Linked DNA regions of Caenorhabditis elegans. The protein of the gene in region 1 interacts with the protein of each later gene in a pairwise test. Each region holds a gene or a part of one and is shown on either strand. Other genes may lie near its edges.

Evidence for each region.
Region 2: the proteins of brp-1 (region 1) and lit-1 interact in a two-hybrid assay, tested with the Caenorhabditis elegans proteins (2 studies listed by BioGRID, with this or other methods).
Region 3: the proteins of brp-1 (region 1) and pbs-6 interact in a two-hybrid assay, tested with the Caenorhabditis elegans proteins (3 studies listed by BioGRID).

What each region holds. Positions count from the first base shown.
Region 1 is NC_003281.10:12,018,002-12,026,722, forward strand, and holds brp-1 (uncharacterized protein), read left to right. Parts: upstream 1-2,550; coding exon 2,551-2,628; intron 2,629-3,315; coding exon 3,316-3,495; intron 3,496-3,552; coding exon 3,553-3,798; intron 3,799-4,142; coding exon 4,143-4,589; intron 4,590-5,527; coding exon 5,528-5,735; intron 5,736-5,788; coding exon 5,789-5,979; intron 5,980-6,866; coding exon 6,867-7,175; 3' UTR 7,176-7,320; downstream 7,321-8,721. Other genes in the region: Y79H2A.12 (Serpentine Receptor, class BC (Class B-like)), read right to left, coding at 7,558-7,667.
Region 2 is NC_003281.10:13,711,374-13,717,836, forward strand, and holds the start of lit-1 (Serine/threonine kinase NLK), read left to right. Parts: upstream 1-2,671; coding exon 2,672-2,811; intron 2,812-3,184; coding exon 3,185-3,303; intron 3,304-4,124; coding exon 4,125-4,298; intron 4,299-4,376; coding exon 4,377-4,478; intron 4,479-6,463. UniProt on the Caenorhabditis elegans protein: Has a role in the Wnt signaling pathway controlling the asymmetry of cell divisions during embryogenesis. Operates in the AB and EMS cell lineages influencing cell specification.
Region 3 is NC_003281.10:8,241,830-8,246,734, forward strand, and holds pbs-6 (Proteasome subunit beta type-1), read right to left. Parts: upstream 2,264-4,905; coding exon 1,998-2,263; intron 1,953-1,997; coding exon 1,559-1,952; intron 1,511-1,558; coding exon 1,394-1,510; 3' UTR 1,293-1,393; downstream 1-1,292. Other genes in the region: Putative zinc finger protein C02F5.12, read right to left, coding at 1-201, 251-535, 957-1,040; cids-1 (CID domain-containing protein 1), read left to right, coding at 2,616-2,753, 2,797-2,930, 2,973-3,156, 3,204-3,448, 3,501-3,648, 3,697-3,795; putative GTP-binding protein C02F5.3, read left to right, coding at 4,062-4,732, 4,795-4,905. UniProt on the Caenorhabditis elegans protein: Non-catalytic component of the proteasome, a multicatalytic proteinase complex which is characterized by its ability to cleave peptides with Arg, Phe, Tyr, Leu, and Glu adjacent to the leaving group at neutral or slightly basic pH.

The DNA of each region.
Region 1 (8,721 bases):
CCTCCAACACCTCTCATAACTGGTTTTCTTTAGATTTCACTGAAATTATTGTATTATTTCCCCCCCCCCCCCTCTCTTCCAAAAATCGTTGCCAAAGACCTGTGTGATAAAGACTCCGCCCACTTTTTCCTTTCTTCGCCAACTGACCTCTTCTTTTTTCACTTTGGACGCCCCCGGGGCGTCGAGACGCATTCGATTCTTCTTCTCTTTTTCAATTTTACCTTGTTTCAATTATTTTCATGGGGGAAGGACGTTTTTAAATAATTTTCTTTTGAAACTAGTTTTTTAGTTACCACTTTTTCATCTTACCCTTTAATGCTTAACGTTGGCCATCCAACTTACCGTTTTTCTTCTATTAGTATTGCACCCGACTATTTAACTTTGAAACGTTATATCTTGGTTCATTTTAATGATATCAATATATTGTTAACCAAGAAATTATAGAAAACGAGCTAACAAATATTTTGTTAGTTGACAATTTTTAAATAGAACTAACTATAACTGAGATATAAGCTGTCAAAGTTGAACAATTGGGGGGGGGGGGGGAATACTAATACGGTAAACTAAATATTATGCTCCTCAAATAGTAACATCCCTTATAGTAATAGGATTTGATAAGTAAGTAAATACCGTATTAACTCTTTTGTTGGTCTATTGAAAATTGCAAAATTTCATAAAAAACCTAAACATTTTCAAATTCCATCTAAATATTTTTTTTTGTTCTGTTATTTTCCTCCAATACGAGACAAAACCTAACCTTGAACCCCCAAAGTGGAACCGTTTCTACTCTGTTCTTTTGCCAGTTGAAGGTGATGTTTTTGTCAAAATATAAGGGTAACCTTCAACAATTTTCTTTCATGTGAAAAATGAAAGACATTTGAAACGGTCAATTGAGTAAGGTGGAGGAGACTCTGCCCCCACAAGAGTGCCCCCACAAGAGTGGGGGAGAAATAAGAAATAATAAAATAAGTAGGCAAGCGTAGGTGGGGGGGGGGGGAGGGGAATACTGTAATTCTGATCGGAGAATATTTAAAATTGTGGCAACCACATTAAAAACCGATAATAACTTATAATAGGACAAAAATAATTTGGAATATACCGTATTTCCTCTTTTAGTTTTGCACCCCTTTGCTCAACTTTGACAGCTCATATCTCATTTTGTTTTGAACATATAAATAATTAACAAACTACAAACTATAGAAAAACATCTCACAAAAATTTTATCAGTTGACAACTTTTCTATGGAACAAAGAACTACTGAGATATGAGCTGTCAAAGTTGAGCAAGCGGGTGCAAAACTAATAGAGGAAATACGGTATGTATCGTAAACTTCTGTATATACATACTTCCCTGTTAGTGTTGCATGTATCAGGGTTGGGCGGTAAATAATTTTTCCGCCAAATTGGCGAATTGCCGGAATTGAAATTTTCAGCAAGTCGGTAAACCGGCAAATTGCCGATTTGCCGCATTTTCCAGAAAAACGGCAATTGTCGGACAGATTGTGGTTTTGCATTTTTTTTTTGTTCGAAATTTCGTGTTTCACTATCAGTCTCATAAAAAAGCCCTCTAAAAACTTCCGGCAAATCGGAAATTTGCCGAAAATCGAAAATTCCGGAATATCAGCAAACCGGCAGTTTGCCGCCCACCAATACTAGTTCTAAATGAATATTTTTTAGAGCAAACGGGCTTTTTCTCACCAATTTTTTCGTTTTAAGACAGTTCTCGATATGAGTTTAACTAACTAAAAATCACAAAATTTACAAAAAAAATTATTATAACTCACATTTTTTAAAAATCATGCAGAGCGCTAAAAATACCAAAAATCATACTAAAACATTTCAAAAAAATGTAGACATTTTTTCGAAGAATCTGCAGCATGTATGAATATTTCAAAAATAATTAAAGCATAAAACTGGAATCAGAACTTTTTTTTTAACTCAAAATGAAAAATGTTCCGAAATTATATTAATAGCTTTACTATGATATTTGTTCATTTTAGGCCGTACTCCACCTTGTATGCAGGCACATTAATATTTATAATAAGAGAAAAATAAACCCTCCGCATTTGAATTAACACATCCTACCTATTTTTACCTGAACCATCAAACTTTGTATATTATACTCTGCCCTTAAACCCTTGCTGCAAAAAATGGAAAAGAAATCAAAAATCAAAGTATCCTTTATCATTTTAAAATTTTTCACAGAAATCTTTATCATCATCTGATCGAGATTTTCTGGTCAAAAACAAAAACGAATGACGTCATTCCTCTCTCAAGTGTACAGTAACCAAGTGGCCGGCTATTTTAAAAACTCGTTTTGTGTGTTTCTTCAAAACTTGGTGTCACTTCCTATCAAAACATCGGGAGATCATTTTTTGTTCATTTTCCTACACCGCGCGGAAGAGTCGTGAATGCCAACCTGTCAAAAATGTTTAATGCTCCGCGAGAGAAAGTGAGCCGCTTCTCTAATTCTCCTATTGTGCGCATTGATCTCTTCTCTTTTTTTTGTTTTTGTCTTTTACTCGAATATCTAATCAAGAATCATTTACAGATGACCAAACTAGGCGCACAGCCCGGCGTTCACGGGAGTGAGGACGTTGAGAAGGAGTCTATCAAGATCGATCCAAAAGTGAGTTTCTATTAAAAATATTCAAATTTTCTGAGAACTGTTTTTAGTGCGAAGTTCAAATTTTCTCATAAAAAAATTTCAGCTGGAAATTCGAATTTTTTTTAAGAGATCACGTTTTGGCGCGAATTACAAATTTTATGAGTAACAAGTCGTAGTGTCAGAGTGTCCCATTTCGGCTTGATCTACATAGATCTACAAAAAATGCGGGATTTCAGACGCAGGCTTCTCAGCTGATTTCGCATGGTTAAGAACATGGCTGACGTCATGTTTTTTGGGCAAAAAAGTTCCTGCATTTTTTGTAGATCAAACCGTGATGGGGCAGCCCGGCACCACGTGTAAAAACAGTTTGCCTCGAAATTCAAAATTTTTCACAAAAAAATTTTAGCTGGAAAATCAAATTTTCTGAGAAAACGTATATTGGCGCGAAGTTCAAATTTTATTAGAAATTTTTTTGGCGCTAATTTAAAGTTTTATGAGAAAATACATTTGACTCGAAATTCAAACTTTATGAGAAAACGTATTTTGCCGCGAAATTTAAATTATCCGAGAATAATTTTTGGCGCGAAATTCAAATTTTCTGAGAACATTTTTTGGCGCGAAATTCAAATTTTCTCACAAAGAATATATTCGGTAACAATAATAATAATAACGTTAGTAGAAATATCAACAAAATCTGAATTATTCCAGGTGTTCACAGTCCTCCAGCCCACAGTGATCCCAATGCCGGCTCCACCAATGAAGCCTGCTCCATCGCCAGCTTTCCAGGCGATGAGAGCATGCTTCCATTGCATGTTCTTTGCCACGTGTCTTTTGCTGGTGACACTCATCGGTTTCTACTTCCTCGCCGCTACTCCTGATCTCTTCAAGGTACAGGGTTTTTTTTTAATTTTAAGCTTTTTTAAACTTAATTAATTGATATTCCAGAAAACCGAAACATCCGTGAACAAGCCACAAATGGAGGCACTTCTAGCTCAACCAATTGATGGATCATCTGAAAAGACTATAAACTCTGCGGAAAATCCAGGAATGATGGCAATTCCCTTGGCTCGGGTAGTTGTAGTGGAGGATATTTCGAATAATGAAGGTCAAAAGAAGACAACTGTTGATGGATCAGTTGAGGAGAAGTCCTCTACCAATTTGGATCGCCCACTTCATCCAGATGAGATTGAGGTTAGTTACCAAATTATACCATATATATACATAAATATGGATTTGTATATATATATATATATAAATATATATATATATATATATATATATATATATATATATATATATATATATATATATATATATATGCATATGTAGGGCTTCCATAGACAGGCGCGGTTCCAGGGCCTGCCTGAAGGGAATGCCTACCCGCCTCAAGCCAGCTAAACTGCTTTAAAAATTTTAGGCCATTTTTTGAGCTGCCATAACTTTTTTTTCAAGAGGTTTTTAAGAAGTTTCATTAAGAAATTCGATATTTTCAGACAATTTTGAGTCTAATAAATCAATAAAAGCAATTTTTTCAGCAATACCGAATGATGGAGGCCCGCCAACAATTCCAACAAATAATGGAGGAACGTATGTACATGCAACAAATGATGGCAATGCGAATGATGAGAATGAGAAGACTTCAAGCCGCCTACTACCAACAACAACAAATGAAGATGGCCTACATGCAACAACAACAGCAACAGATGCAGGAAGAGGCCGCCCGTCAGCAATGGGCCGAGAGATCCCGCTATGAAGAGGAACAACGTCGTCAGTACGAGGCTCAACAGACCTATGCTCAACAGCAGCGTGCTCAAGCTTTCTGGCAACAACATCAGTTGGAGATGCAGGCTCAGACTCAGCAGGCTCAGGCCCAGGCCCAATGGCAACAGCAGGAGCAACAGCCACAGGAGCAGCAGAGACAGAGATTCTGGCCAAGACCAATGATGCATCAGCAACAATGGGAGAGACCAACTGTCTGGCAGGTAAGGCGATTTGTAGATTTTTAGATGATGGGCTACGAATTTTTTGGCATTTGGATTTTAGACACATTTTCCATTTTGAAAAATTTGAATTTTTGCTTTTTTTTTTCATAATTTTTTTCAAAAAACTTCGAAAATTTTTCGTCGTATTTGGATCAGGGGTGGGCGGCAATTGCAGTTCGGCAAATTTTTTTTGAGTAAATTGGCAACTGAAAATCGGCAATTTGCCGGTTAGCCGATTTGCCGGAAACTTTTGATTCCGGCAACTTGTCGGTTTTCCGGGAATTTCCAATTCCGGTAATTTGCCGATTCGCCTGAAATTTTCAATTCCGACAGTTTTCCGATTTGCCTGAAATTATCAATTCCGGCATTTTGCAGATTTGCCGGAAATTGTAAATTTTGGCAATTTGCCGATTTGCCGGAAATGTTCAATTCCGGCAATTTTTAGATTTGCCTGAAATTATGAATTCCGGCAGTTCGCCGGTTTGCCGGAAATTTTCCATTCCGGCAGTTTGTCGATTTGCCGGAAATTTTCAATTCCGGAAATTTGTCAATTTGCATGAAATTTTTAATTCCGGCAATTTGCCTGAAATTATCAATTCCGGCAGTTTGTCGATTTGCCGGAAATTTTTAATATCGGCAATTTGCTGATGTGCCGGAAGTTATCAATTCCTGCAATTTGCCGATTTGCCTGAAATTTTCAATTCCGGCAGTTTGTCGACTTGCCGGAAATTTCAGTTCCGGCACTTCGCCGGTGTGCCGGAAAATCTTAATTCCGGCAACTTGCCGATAAGCCAGAGATTGTGAATTCCGGCAATTCGCCGGCTTGCCGAAAAAAATCGTTTGCCGCCCACCTCTGTTTTTTGCTTAGTTTTCGGGATCTGAAACCGATAAAAATTTTCACTATTTTTTTTGTCAAAAAACCATCAAAAAAATTCCAGCAACCACCCCAACAATTCTTCTTCCCATCCCAACAACAACAGCAGCATCAGCAGCAACCACAACAGACCCAACAACCTGAGGACCGTTTCCCACAGGCTCCACAATTCTTCCAACCAATCCCACAACCATCAGTTCACGATAAGATCTACGAGGAACTTCAGAAGAAGTCGCAGAACATTCCAGTCAACGCACCAACTCGTCAAATCTGTTAGTTGTTTTTTTTGCAAAAAGCCCAAAAATTTCAATTAATCTTGTATCAGGGACAGCAATCACTCCAACTCCAGCTCCAGAAGCTGCATCTGGAACTGCTGACGTCACAGCTTCACCCATCAACACTGCATTCCCAGCAGTTGTCACGAGCAGCACACCAATGCCAGAGGATGCCGCTGAGGTTTCTGATACTATTCTCAGAGATATCTTCTCAGCTTTCGATGAGCAAAAGAATTCAGAGGTTTGTACATCAGGAACATGTTGGTTCGGCAAATCGGCAAATCGGCGAATCGCCGGTTTACCAATTTGCTGCCGATTTGCCGGAAATTTTGCCGATTTGCCGGAAATTTTCATTTTCGGCACTTTGCCAGTTTGCCGATTTGCAGGAAATTTTCTATTTCGGCAACTTGCCGGTTTGCCAATTTGCCGAAAATTTTCAATTCCGGCAATTTGCCAATTTGCCGGAAGTTTGAGTTCCGGCAATCTGTCGATTTTCCGATTGACCGGAAATTACAATACCGGCAGTTTGCCAATTTTCCGGAAATTTTCATTTTCGGCACTTTGCCAGTTTGCCGATTTGCAGGAAATTTTCTATTTCGGCAATTTGTCAAAAATTTAAGTTCAGGCAATTTGCGGATCTGGTTCCAGCAGTTTGCCGATTTGCCAAAAGTTTTAATTCGGGCAATTCACCTATTTGCCGAAAATTTCAATTCCGGCTCTCTGCCGGTTTGCCGAGTTGCCGGATATCAATTTGCCGGAAGTGTTTAGAAAGATTGTTTATTTATATATAGTCGGCACGGTACAATTTTGCCGACTAATATTGTAATTCTGAAGTTCTGAAATTGCCAAAAAAAAGTGCAAAACCACAATTTGCCGGAATTAAAATTTCTGGCAAATCGGCAAACCGGCAAAAATTTGAATTTCAAAAAGGCAAGTGTTTCCGTCTTATAAAAAATTTCTCTAAAAATTTCCGGCAAATTGATGTTCGGTAAACGGCAAATCAGCAATTTTCCGAAAATCAAAATTTCCGGCAAATTGACAAACCGGCAATTTGCCAAATTTGCCGAACGGCAATTTCCGGCCCACCCCTGTTTTGTGCTCACTGAGGCATAATGAGTAATATTCCAGGCGGCCAACAAAGAGCTCAACTCAGCCACCCCATCAACCACCGAAGAGCCAGAACTCGAAGGAAAGGGAGCAATTGTGATTGAGGACAGCTTCCCAAGAATCGAAGAACGCACCACAACACCTGAACCAATGGAATCTGAAGAAGATGCTGAACATACATCATCTGAAGATAATCATGAGAAGGAGTTGGATCCATTCGCAGCTGTTCTCAAATTCTTCGAGAACAATCCACCACGTGAGGCTCTCGAGGCAGCAGGGGCTGAGACAGCAGCAACCACTCAGAAACCATTGAAACCACTGATTGTTTGAGAATTTTAATTTTGAGCTGAGCTAAAAAAAAATAATTTTCGAATGTAATAATTGTTATACAATTCGTCCTCCCCCGATTATTTTCCATCATCATCATCATCCCATCTTTTACGCGTGCAGGTTTGTAAATAAAATTATTCGCTGTTGAATTTGTATTTGCAAATCAAGAAAAAAAAAGTATTTATTTCAGAACGTGTGGTGTCAGAGTGTCCCATGTTGGTTTGATCTACGTAGATCTACAAAAAATGCGGCAGAGTTCTCAACTGATTTCGCATGGTTAAGAACGTGCTGACGTCACACTTTTTTTGGCAAAAAATTGCCGCATTTTTTGTAGATCAAACCGTGGTGGGACAGCCTGGCACCACGTGTTTCCAAGGAACTTTCAAAACTTCATCACATTTGTTAAATCCGACTGTCTAACCAGCATCCCATTCTCGATTCGTTTTGCATAGACGTAACATCGATTGATTAGAATGAATTTGATTATTGATACTGAAAAATTTTTAAACAATTTTTCGCTTTAAATTACAGAATATACGCCTAGAATATATGACCAAATATGACTGTGAAAATTTTTTCAAAAATGTCCTAAACTTTTAGTGAATTTTTACATATTTCAAAATTCATAGAAACGACCGAATTAAATTTGAAACATTTGAATTCCCGCGCAAATGAGTGACGTCATTTTCGATATTTTGGCAAATCGGCAAAATGGCGAAATTGAAATTTCCGGCAAATCGGCAAAATGGCGATATTGAAATTTCCGGCAAATCGGGAAAAGGGCGAAATTGAAATTTCTGGCAAATTGCCGGAATTGAACTTTCCCGAAAATTGTCAAGTTGCCGATGTTGAAATTTCCGGCAAATCTGTAAATTGCCGGAATTGAAATTTCCGGCAAATCGGCAAAATGGCGAAATTGAAATTTCCGGCAAATCGGCAAAATGGCGAAATTGAAATTTCCGGCAAATCGGGAAAAGGGCGAAATTGAACTTTCCCGAAAATTGTCAAGTTGCCGATGTTGAAATTTCCGGCAAATCTGTAAATTGCCGGAATTGAAATTTCCGGCAAATCGGCAAAATGGCGAAATTGAAATTTCCGGCAAATCGGCAAAATGGCGAAATTGAAATTTCCGGCAAATCGGGAAAAGGGCGAAATTGAACTTTCCCGAAAATTGTCAAGTTGCCGATGTTGAAATTTCCGGCAAATCTGTAAATTTCCGGAATTGAAATTTCCGGCAAATCGGGAAAAGGGCGAAATTTAAATTTCCGGCAAATCGGCAAAATGGCGAAATTTAAATTTCCGGCAAATCGGCAAAATGGCGAAATTGAAATTTCCGGCAAATCGGCAAAATGGCGAAATTTAAATTTCCGGCAAATCGGGAAAAGGGCGAAATTGAAATTTCTGGCAAATTGCCGGAATTGAACTTTCCCGAAAATTGTCAAGTTGCCGATGTTGAAATTTCCGGCAAATCTGTAAATTGCCGGAATTGAAATTTCCGGCAAATCGGCAAATCACCGGAATTTTCTGGCAAATCTGCAAAAGAAAA
Region 2 (6,463 bases), 1.7 Mb from region 1:
GAATTTGATTCTCCAAAATGTTCTTTCCTGCAACTTTGTGCGGTCTCTGATAAAATGTAGATTCAACTTATAGGCGGCATTTGCCGGGTTTTTATCTTTTTGGCAAATTGCCTGTTTGCCGTTTGCCGGATATCAGACTAGCCGGAAATGTTTAGAGGGATTTTTTATAAGACGGAAACACTTAAAACTGTGTCTTTTTGAATTTTTTCGGTTTTTTCTACATATTTTCATAAAATTTGCTTACTTTTCAAAATAGATGTAGGAGTATGCATAGGATGCGTTTAATTTTGCCATTTGAAATTGAAATTCTGAAATTTCCAAAAAAATAATTGCGAAACCACAGTATGCCGAAAATGTTTGGCGAATTCGGCAAATCGGTAATTCGCCGGCTTGCCGATTTGTTCAATTCCGGCAATTTGCCGGAAAAAATCGTTTGAAAGCCCAAATTTTACGCATAGATAATTAAGCCCCTCTCAGAAAAATTCAAGATGAACTAATTGGTCACACAAATTAATTAAAAGCTCTTTTTTATTTTAAAATGATTAAGTTAACAATAACCTCATGAATCTGAATCTTCGAGGTATGTCTTCCTTCAAATTCGTTGGGTTTCCAATAGAAAATGTTCAATTTTTTATCACTTTCCTTTAACTTTTTCGTAATTTTTATTTGTTTTTTTTCACTTTCTTCTTCGCAGTTGCTTTTCCGCGTCCTTGTATAGTAGTCGTCAAAGCAGTCGGCGGCGTTCTATTTTTTTTTTGCTTGCTTGCTTTTGCTATGTCTCGTGTGTGCCCAATAACAACAACAACCACATATATAGCCGTCTTCTGGATATATATGTATGTGGGTGTGTGTGTGTTATGGCTTTTCTTCGAACTTTTTATTTCACTCGGAAACTTTCAAGATTTGTCTTTTCTGATGCTTTTTAGGATTCCAGGAATTTTATTCGTTCGAACTAGTAAGTATGAAGTTAGAGTTCACAGCAAATTTTCATCAAAATTCGGAAAAAAACTGGTTTTTATATCGTAGCCCTACAAAAATAGAGAAATAAAAAAATCGAAGGGTCAGATTCACCAGTGTTATTTTTCGATAATTTGTCAGAAAAATTTGGGAATTAGAAACTTTACGAAGTCTAGTGAGTTGCAAATTTTTAAGAATCAAATTTGCTAATTTTCCTTCTTATTTTCGGATCAAATTTTCATTTCATATGAAATATTTCATAAAAAACAAAAAATCAGATTTTGTAGATAGAGCCCACAATGTAAAGGAACTACAACATCTGTAGAACCGGATCTGTTAGATTTTTTCTTCGAGTTTTACAAAATTTCAGACTTCCCAAGTTTTTTGTTTGAGTTTTGGCTCAGAAATTTCGAACATAAAACTTGGAGAATCAGATTCCCGGCTTTTAGAGAAAGTTCCGATTAGGGGCACCACAAATTGAGAAAACAAACATTCTGGAGAATCAGAGTTTCGATTTTTTGTTGCCAAAAACGACATCCTTGCTCCAACTGTCAGCATGCCAAACAACAGACACCCCTGTTGAAAATTTTAAATTCCAAATGAAACGGGGATGGGGTACATCGTAGTAATAGTAGTAGTTGGTTCTTAGGGGAGCACATCTCTGCTTCTTCTTCTTCGCAGCTTTTCGGTCTTCTGCGTCCGTTTGAGTGGTCAGTCAGATGTATGAGAGTGCGTTCCGTATCTCTCTGCGTCTCCACACCCTTGACCACTCTCTACGCCGTCGTGCTCTCTGTGTCTCGCCCGACTATCTCGAATAGAAAGTGACCACTGCTACATAATATTCGAATTCGCGGGGGGGGGGGGGTCTGTCTACTGCTGCTGCTGCTGGGTGGCCGTTTTCCTTGCCACACACTCTCTCGTCTCTCTTGCTCTTTGTGCATCTCATAGTTTGCTACTCGCGATCAGCTGTAGTCAACGTTCTCATATATACAGTATGCTTTTTGTTGAAAGTTTTGCCATATTGCCACGGCAAATTTTTTGGTACTTTAGTGGTTTTTTATTTCAAATCACCACGAACTTTTATAATTTTCCTCGATATTTGCATTTCCTCATTTTTTGCCAATGAAATTGTAAATTTTTCGCATTATTCTGTATGCTAGCACTTGTTTTCCAGCTTTACTTTACTCCCTTGTCCTCTCCCCGCCCCCAAAAGTACCAGAATAAGGTGTTTCCAAATTAGTTGTCCTTATCTTTCGAGGAGCCTCGTTTTAGAAAATGTGTACTTTTCTGCTCAATTCCCGGACACTTTTTCCGGGAATTCAGAAAAAGTCTGAACCACTACTAATTCTAATGTGATATTCTGAAGTTAGTCTTCATAATGATATATGCTAGCAATTTATATAACTAATTTTTCACATGGCGCACACATATCCTCATATCAGAACATATCAGAAGTTCTTGTTATTTTCCCGTTCCCCAAAAGTAACAGAGTAATAAAAAATTTCGAAATCCCGAGGGACGGTCCTTGGGGAGGTCGGGGTCATCACCCTCAACGTACATGGTACCGGGGGCCTGGTGGCGACAGGTAGTGAGGTCTCTCTTCTCAGTCCTGTTAGCACACACACAGTGGAGGGGTGCGTGCGCGCTCGCTCACTCGCCTACAGATCCGAGATGAATCGTAGACGCGTATTGAGGAAGACGGTGTTGGGTGGTGATGGTGTCGTGGGGAAGGGGGAAGGATGCGTACTATCTCTATATTTCTCGAGAACAAGAAGAAGATGATGACGATTCACTTTCCTTCTACTCGTCTCAGAAAGACACGGAGGACGAATTCTGCGGGTGCCTTTTCCCCGAGTAAATTTTCACATGTTTACAAAAAATGTTCATTATGAGCCTCTGTATTGCTTAAATTTGTCAATCATAAAATATTTTAAATAGGCAGTTCTCCTGAAAATAATACATTGAAAAATTTCGTTATTAAACCATTTTTGGTTTTTTTGTTGGAAATTTTTTTGTTGGCTTGATAAATTTGGCACAATTTCGTTTTCCGAGAGGAGAACAACTTTTATTTCCTTCTTCATCTATTTCCTCCTTTTTTTCAGAATTCTCTAGAAAAAAAACAAAAAAAAAAGAAGGCGTCCTCTCTCGTCATGAATGAATAACACTAGTTCCGCCTCACTTTTTCATGTTCTTTTTTCTTCTTTCTTTTTTCTTTCTTTTTTTCAAGTCCAGAAATTCCAGGATCAAGCAGTTCATCCGGCTGTAGTTCGTCATCTACAGAGCTCTACGATCTTGCAGCTGCACACGCCGCACTTATATCCCGACAGCAACAGATTCTCAGTCAGGGTGTGTTTTTGTGGAAAAATTAAAACAAATTGAGTTTTACATGTCCGGAAATGTGTGTCTCGCCACGAACTTTGTGGAATTCGTTGGGAGACCCTATTGTTTTTTTTAATAAGCTAAGAAATTGAGATTTTCGCTCATTCATGTGAAAAAAATAACGCTCGCTAATCTTTGTATTAGAATTAGAGTTGATTTGCTTTTATAATCCAGTTCAATTTGTCTACAAATTTTCTTTTTAAACAATTAAACTAGTTTGGAAAATGGATAATTAATTTTTAAACCTAACCGTTGAATTATTGATCGAAAAATGAAAATTAATTAAAAGTACTGTAAACTTTAAAGGAGCATACCTTTAGTTTCGTACTGGGTTCCACCACGATTCGAGAAATCATACATTTTATAATATTTTCTCGATTTTCGTGCCTAAGATATCTTTTTTTAATATTTAATTGAAACAAATTTTTTATTTTAAAATGTTCATTCTAACCGAAATTTCCAAACCCCATTGTTTGCTCCCGAAACACGAATTTTCAAATAGTTCAGTACTGTAAGATTTAAAGGCGCCCAAACTGTCTCTTGCAGTAGGTCTCGTCACGATCGGAGAAATTCTAAAAAAGTTTTTGTTTTTTCGTTTCGAATTTTTGTTTTTCTGCTCAATTTCTTCGCTTTGTTAGCTAAAAAATGTGTAAAATTTATCATTAAAAAAAACAAAGTTTCAACAATTTTCAGTACCTCTTCATATAATTCACATGAAATTGTCTAATTTTTAGCCAATTTCAGAGGATTTTCCGAAAAACTCAATAATTAATCAAGAATTGTTTCAGCAATCCCAATAATACCGGAACACCAGCTGGCCGCCGTCGCCGCTCACCATCAACATCACCAGCAGCTTCACCCATCGGTACAGTACCAGCTCGTCGCTGCCGCCACCCATCACAATCATCATCAGCCGCAAGCGGCACAACCACACTATTCAGCAGTTGTGCCACGATCTGACGGTTTGTTAAATAATGTTTTAAACGTTGAAAATTGTTTTTTTTTTCAATAAAAAAGTAATGTTTTTTTTAATTTTTCAGTAATACAACAACCACCACACTTTGCTCTGCACCACCATCTTCAGAATTTGGTTCAACAGCAGCAGCAACAGCAGGCTCACCATCATCATCAGCAATTAGTTGGTGAGTCGACCGATTTTTTTTCACGAAAACAAAAAATTAAAAAATAATTACCGAAAATCCGGAAAAAAACATTAAAAAATGAACGGAACAATTTCCCTTTTTTTAAAAGTTAACTTATGAAATTTTTGAAAGATAAAAAAAAATATTGGGAAAAATTTTCAAGCCTCAAAAATCTGGTTTTTAAAACTAAAAACTAATTTTAACAATAGTTTCAAATTTTTCTGTAAAAACCAAAATTCCCAACAAAATTTTTTTGAATCATGATATTTGTAAAAATCTATTTTCTTGATTTGTTAACAAACTTTCGAACCATTTCCCTTTTTGTTTACTTTTTAATATCTCAAAGTTCACGTGTAGTTCTGTTAGCCGGTCTTTACAAATTTAATCAGTTGCTGCCTGTCAAAGTGCACAAGTCCTTCTACTACTTTATTTTCCATCTCCTCTACCGTAATGTCCTTGTCTCCCCTGAATGACCTACAAAGAACACACTCCGCTCTTTCTAGAAAAGACTGCTTTCTCTGTTAAAGCACATGTTTTTTGTTGTTGTTACTCTCCGTCATCAGCTTCGGGGTGTTTTTTTTATTCTGGAATTCTTAGAATTTTCTCAGTTCACCGTGACTCACTTCTCAGAACTACTACGATTTTCTAACAGAAATCTGAAAGACATTTATTGCGAAATATGATGACTAAAAAAGAGATCAAGTTCGGCTTTTTTGAGCCATTTTTTCCGAATAAACCCGTTTTTTTTAATGTTCTGAATTTTCTATCATTTCCAAAAAAAAATATTGTGAAAAAAATTTTTATGATGCTCTTACTCTTTGCCATTTAAATTGGAACACTAATTGTCAATTTTTCAGACATTTTTCCGCGTAGAAATAAAAATTGGCCTATAAATTGTTCGTTTAACAATTAATTACTTGATAGAAAAACGATTCTTCCTTTTAATTTTTTTTTGAATAACGGAAAATTATATATAAAAAATGCCTATTTTCTTTTCTGAAATTTAGTATGAAAACCAGTTAAACACTACTTAGTTAATCTTTATTCGATATATCTTTATCAATCTGAAATTCACTAACGATTCATTTATGACGCTCAAACATGTGAACTCCGTTGATCACATACACACAAATTCACGTTATGACGAACATAACACTAGATATGTCGAAAAACGCATATACACAGATTATATTGCTAGTGACGCAATTTTTGAGTGAAATGGAAAAAAGGGAGATAATGGCAACAGCGAATACGTAAAGGTGGAATTAATTAGATTTCAGCTCAGATCTAGAAATAAGTAGAGAGTATGTGCTTAGACTACATTTTGTGCTCCTTTGGACTATATTAATTCCGCTAAAATGGAATGTCCTACATTTTTAGTTTTTCGTCCTATTCATTTTTAAATTGATTTAGTCTATTTTTCTTTAATATTCCCCGACTTGGCCTAAAAAAGTTCTTCACAAGATTTCTCGCTCCACCTAGTGAGCTAGACTTCTCCCGTTCTTTTTCGTCAAATATATTTTCTGATCTCTACACACTCAAAATGGTCCGAATTTAAATTTTATCTACTTCTAGACACTTGTTTTTCGATATTTTGAACGGATATGTCTTTAATAGGTGTAATTTTGTTTTTTAATCTTTTTGGGAAAAAAATCCAATTAAGCTTTTCGATCTCTCCAAGGCGCACCACATTGAGAATATCCTGTCTGACTCAGAATCCCCCAGTGCTCTGAACTTGCACTCCAAATCCAAAAAAGGTCATTTCTTAGACGTGGTTCACTCATTTATTCGTTCCTAAAAAAGGGAGGCTGTCTGTGTCACGCTGCGTCTCTCCTATTCTGCCCAGTCTTGTGTCTGCGTCTCACTTCTTCATCGGTGTTAGTTGGTTGGTGTGTGTGTGTGTGTCTGTGTGAGAGGAACTGCCTGGCATTCAAGGTTAGCCCCCCACAGACCCGCCCCGCTCACTTGGCCCAACACCATTGCCC
Region 3 (4,905 bases), 3.8 Mb from region 1:
TTGTTCATTTGCCTGTTCAGAATCATTTAATGAGAAACTTGATGATCCTGAAGTTTGATCTAGTATCTCTTCAGACTCATCTAAAACTTCTTTCTTTGGAACTTTCAACGCGCTTGATGGATCCGATGGAATGTCTGATGATGTTCCGGGAATATCTAAATTTGCAGTGGGATCCCAGTCATCAAATAATCCTTTTAGAACCTGAATTAGTTTTTAATAAACCAATAAATTCCCAATTTTTCCAACTTACAGATGCTGGTCTCTTTCCTCTGCTCATCGCATCTGAATCTCGTGGCTTCAAACCCAGAGTATCGACTAAATTCAATGGTTGAGCAAATCCAAGTTCAGCGGAAATGCTTTTAAATGGTTTTTTGAGAACATTTTGTGATTGTGCAGATATAGATTCTAGACATTTTGGAGATGAAACTAGTTGTGGGGCACATGAGGTTGGTGGAGTTGCCGGTTTTTGAATTTTCTGTGCAGGAGGATGAATTGGAACTTCTGTCACCCACGAATCCGGACAACCAATCGTTTTCTTTAAATATATTTTATTTGGAGGTTTCATTAAATGCAATTTACCAAAAAGTTGACTCAAAATTTATAAACAATTTGAAATTTTAACGTGTTTTCGCTTTTCTAGGCAATTGTAGTGCCTTGGTGCTTTGATTAGTTCAGTTTGTGGAACATCAAAGTGAGTAAGTAGTTTGAGCCACTGGGGATTTTGTAAACACATTAGCTTAAAAGTACTATTCCTAATTTAGAGTTGTTTCCTACAGTAATATCATTCCAAAATTACAATTTTATAAAATACAGTATTTATGATTTTTGATCGACCATTACATAAAGAATAACCTGTCATATTATTTTTATTGCCAAAATAATTATTACTCAAGTTTTTCTAATCTCGGGAATATTTATATAATTAGAAGCTAAATGTTGCCAAAAGCTTGACCTACCAAAATAGATTGCAAATCGAGTCCTCGCATTTTGAGAACTTCCAAAGTTTGATTGTAGATGTTAACTTGAATATAAGTTGACATTTTTCAGTAAATACCAACTTGTCGAGTTGCAAAGCAGGAATGAATCAATGACACAGCTGGGCAGACCACAAAGTAAGAGACTCGAAACGCAGACGGTTCTAAGCAGCGCCGACTCACTCCTTCTTTTGCATTATATCTTGTGTCTCACTCGTGCGTTCTTGCCCTGTGTGTTTTCGCTCTCTGCATTTTTCTCTCTATTTTGTAGTTTGCGTTGGACGCCGAAATGTAGTCATGTTGTAGACTACAACATATAAGTGGAGGAATATTTATCAGATTACCGGGATGGTAAAACAATTTCAGAGGGGAAGAGGATACGAATAAGTTAAAATAAAATGAGATAGATACTGCAATAATTAATCCTCACGAAGTGGCAGGAACTTTACGACGACTGGCTTTCCGGCTTCAGCGATGACCAAGTGAATTTTGTCTCCAGTAGAGATTTCACGCTCAGCAGCACCACGGAACGAATCCTAGAAAAAATAAATGAATTAGGTTAAAATTACGAAATTCAATTATACCTTCATCAATGAGATGGCTCTGTCCAATGTGAGTTCCGGACGCTCATATCCTTCAGAGAGCGTAACGTGCCCGATTTGACAATCCAAGAATGGAATGATCATTGGTTCAGCGGCTCCACTGGCTGAGTATCCAAGACGCTCGATACATCCGATTGGGTCGTAACTGAACACGGCCCCTTTTCCGTGCTCGTCAATTCCGGCAAGAATAGCTCCAGTGTAGTATGGGAAGAACCGACGGTAATAGAGGTTGCGGGAGAGAAGTTCTGCGCAAAGATCCACAGACATGTCAGAGCGATAATCGAAGCGGTACTTGTGGAGACGAGATTGGAGAACTTTCTTCAATTGGAGGACATCTCCATAGAATCCAGAGGTGGTGAGGATGATGTTATCATTCCTGAATTAAGAATTATTATTAAAACAAAGACAAATACTGGCTTACAAAATTTGAATCTTCTCTGCGTCACGTGTAAGAATGTTGATGTCGTTTTGGGTCATTCTAGTATCACTTGCCACGATGGCAAAGTTCTCCCCAGAAATGGCACAGGTTGATCCTCCCTCCATTGAATACGGGTTCCAGCGTTGACGCTCAATTTGTCTGGAACTCATCCACTCTGGATGAGCTGCAACTTCCTTCATTGCCTGCTTGAACATTGCCATTTCATTGGTGGCGTTGGCGACAGCCGTGATTCCAGTGAAGCTTGTCATCTGAAAAAGGCGTATACTTATTTAGTTGAAACAATATAAATATTCAATATGACAAAATTCAATTAATACAGAAAACAAATGCTCGAAATTTGAGAATTCAACATAACAGGAAATGCTGACAATGAGAGACATCGTCATTTACAATGTTTAGTCCGCAGTTTTCTGCGCGTTCAAATGCACATCGCACATCGAACTATACGACACTTTGCTGAAATTTATTGAAACGCGTTTTCCTCTCTTTTTTGAATGAAAATTCATTTTTCCAAGGTATTTTTGAGGACAATTCATCGCTTTATCTACATTTCTGATTAAAATTTTTGTGATTTCTTTTTTTCAATAATTGATATTTCAGATGGCAGATTTCACAGAGCAAACTTTGCGACAGAAGTTAACAAATTTATCAAACCACCCTTCCTCAATTCAGACGACTTCTGCCTGGCTTTTGCAAAATCATAGCAATCGGGAATTGATCATTCGAGTTTGGCTAAAGGTATTTTATTCATATTGTATCATTTTTTAGTGTTGTATTTCAGACAGTAAAGAAAGAAACACACGGCTCAAAAATTGTAAATCTTCTTTATGTGGCGAATGATGTAAGCCAAAATGCGAGAAAGACTTGCCCACAATTCAAGGACGAATTTTTTCCCGCAATAGAAAGTTCTTTCAGGTATTGGCATTTTCAAACGTCTAATCTCAAAATTAATTTCAGGCATGCAATCGAGTTGAAAAATGCAAAAGAAGTGGAACATGCAATTGGTAAACTGATCAATGTATGGAAAGATCGTCAGATATTCACTCCATCACAATGCAAACGGCTTCATGAAGTTCATCAACAAGTTAAGCTATCTGGAAGCTTCCCAACACCCGCAGTTGCGAACAAGGAACATGGAAAGGTGTGTGAATTTAATAAATTCCAAAAGAATGCCAAAATGAGCTTAAGGTCGCTCAACCTAGTCAGTTCGTCGTTGAAGAAGCGAAAAAGAATGCACAAGATGTTTTGCTCAGTTTGAAGCGCCTTCAAAACCCGCCGAGCACGGAAAGAGAAATTCGCACAGAACTTTCAAAATATCCGGATAATATTTCGTGCCCAGAAAAGTTGCAGTCAGTTCGAAGTTCGCAAGAAGCACAGTCTCTGTTGGTCCAAAATGAAGAAGCTCTTCCGATGCTGGAGGAATATGTTAAAAGGTTTGATTGAAACTTTTGTGAATTGATTTTGTACATTAACTTATGCTTTCAGGCTGAAAAACGAGACAAATGAACGCGAAACTCTCGAATCGAACTTGAATATGCTTATAGAAAATGTTAGAATGAGCATTGAACATCACGAGAAATTGTGCAGAGAAGTTAAGCGTAGAGAAGATCGAATCAAGGCAGATTTGTTAGAGGTTTGAAAACTAGAAAATCAGTTTTTGCAGACTTGAATTGAATTTCAGGTTGAAAAAACATTCGAATCGTTGCCAGATTTGGCTGCTGAGATGCCAAATGCACCATTGCCAACACTTGAAGCTTTGTTCGAGAAGAGGAAAAAATAAGTATCATACTACGTCATAATTATAACTTTACGATCTCAGTAGCTTTTACTGTACCCCCATTGTTGTATAATTTTTGTTCACTTTGATCTTTTACAATCGTGATCACCATTACCACATAAGTGCTTTATACGTTTTTCTTCTGAACCACCTTAAATGAATTTATTTTTTCTAAAATTCAAGTTAGTTCTATTATCTGAAAACGGTTCTTAACCAGTGTTTATCTCTGAAAGTTTGAAATTAATTGTTTAAAAGCTGATATTTTACAGATGGGTATTCTGGAGAAAATTGCAGAAATCGAACATGAAATTTCAAGAACCCAAAAGAATAAAGCCACTGAATACCATTTGGGTCTTCTAAAAGCAAAGTTGGCAAAATATCGTCAACAATTGTTAGAACCAACAGGCAAAGGAGGTGCCAAAGGAGAAGGATTCGATGTAATGAAAAGTGGAGATGCGAGAGTTGCAATGGTTGGATTTCCTTCCGTCGGAAAATCGACTCTATTGTCCTCAATGACTTCCACTCACTCAGAAGCTGCTGGATATGAATTCACAACTCTTACGTGCATTCCTGGTGTCATCTCTTACAACGGAGCCAATATTCAATTGCTCGATCTTCCTGGAATCATTGAAGGAGCTTCTCAGGGAAAAGGAAGAGGAAGACAGGTTATCTCAGTTGCAAAAACTGCAGATTTAATTCTTATGATGCTTGATGCAGGAAAGAGTGACCAACAGAAGATGCTTTTGGAGCGAGAATTAGAAGCTGTTGGTATTCGATTAAACAAAAAGCCACCAAATATCTATGTCAAACAAAAGAAAGTTGGAGGCGTGAAATTCACAAATACTGTTCCGTTAACTCATTGTAATGAGAAATTGATTATGACAGTATTGCACGAGTACAAGATTTTCAATGCTGACGTTATTTTCCGCGAGGATTGCACGTATGTTTTTTTTTAATTATCACTGAGCAGAAGTCCCAAATTGATATATTTATTAATTACAGAGTCGATGAGTTTATTGATGTAATTCAAGGAAATCGTGTATACATGACGTGCCTCTATGTCTACAATAAAGTCGATCAAATTTCGATTGAAGAAATTGATCGATTAGCTAG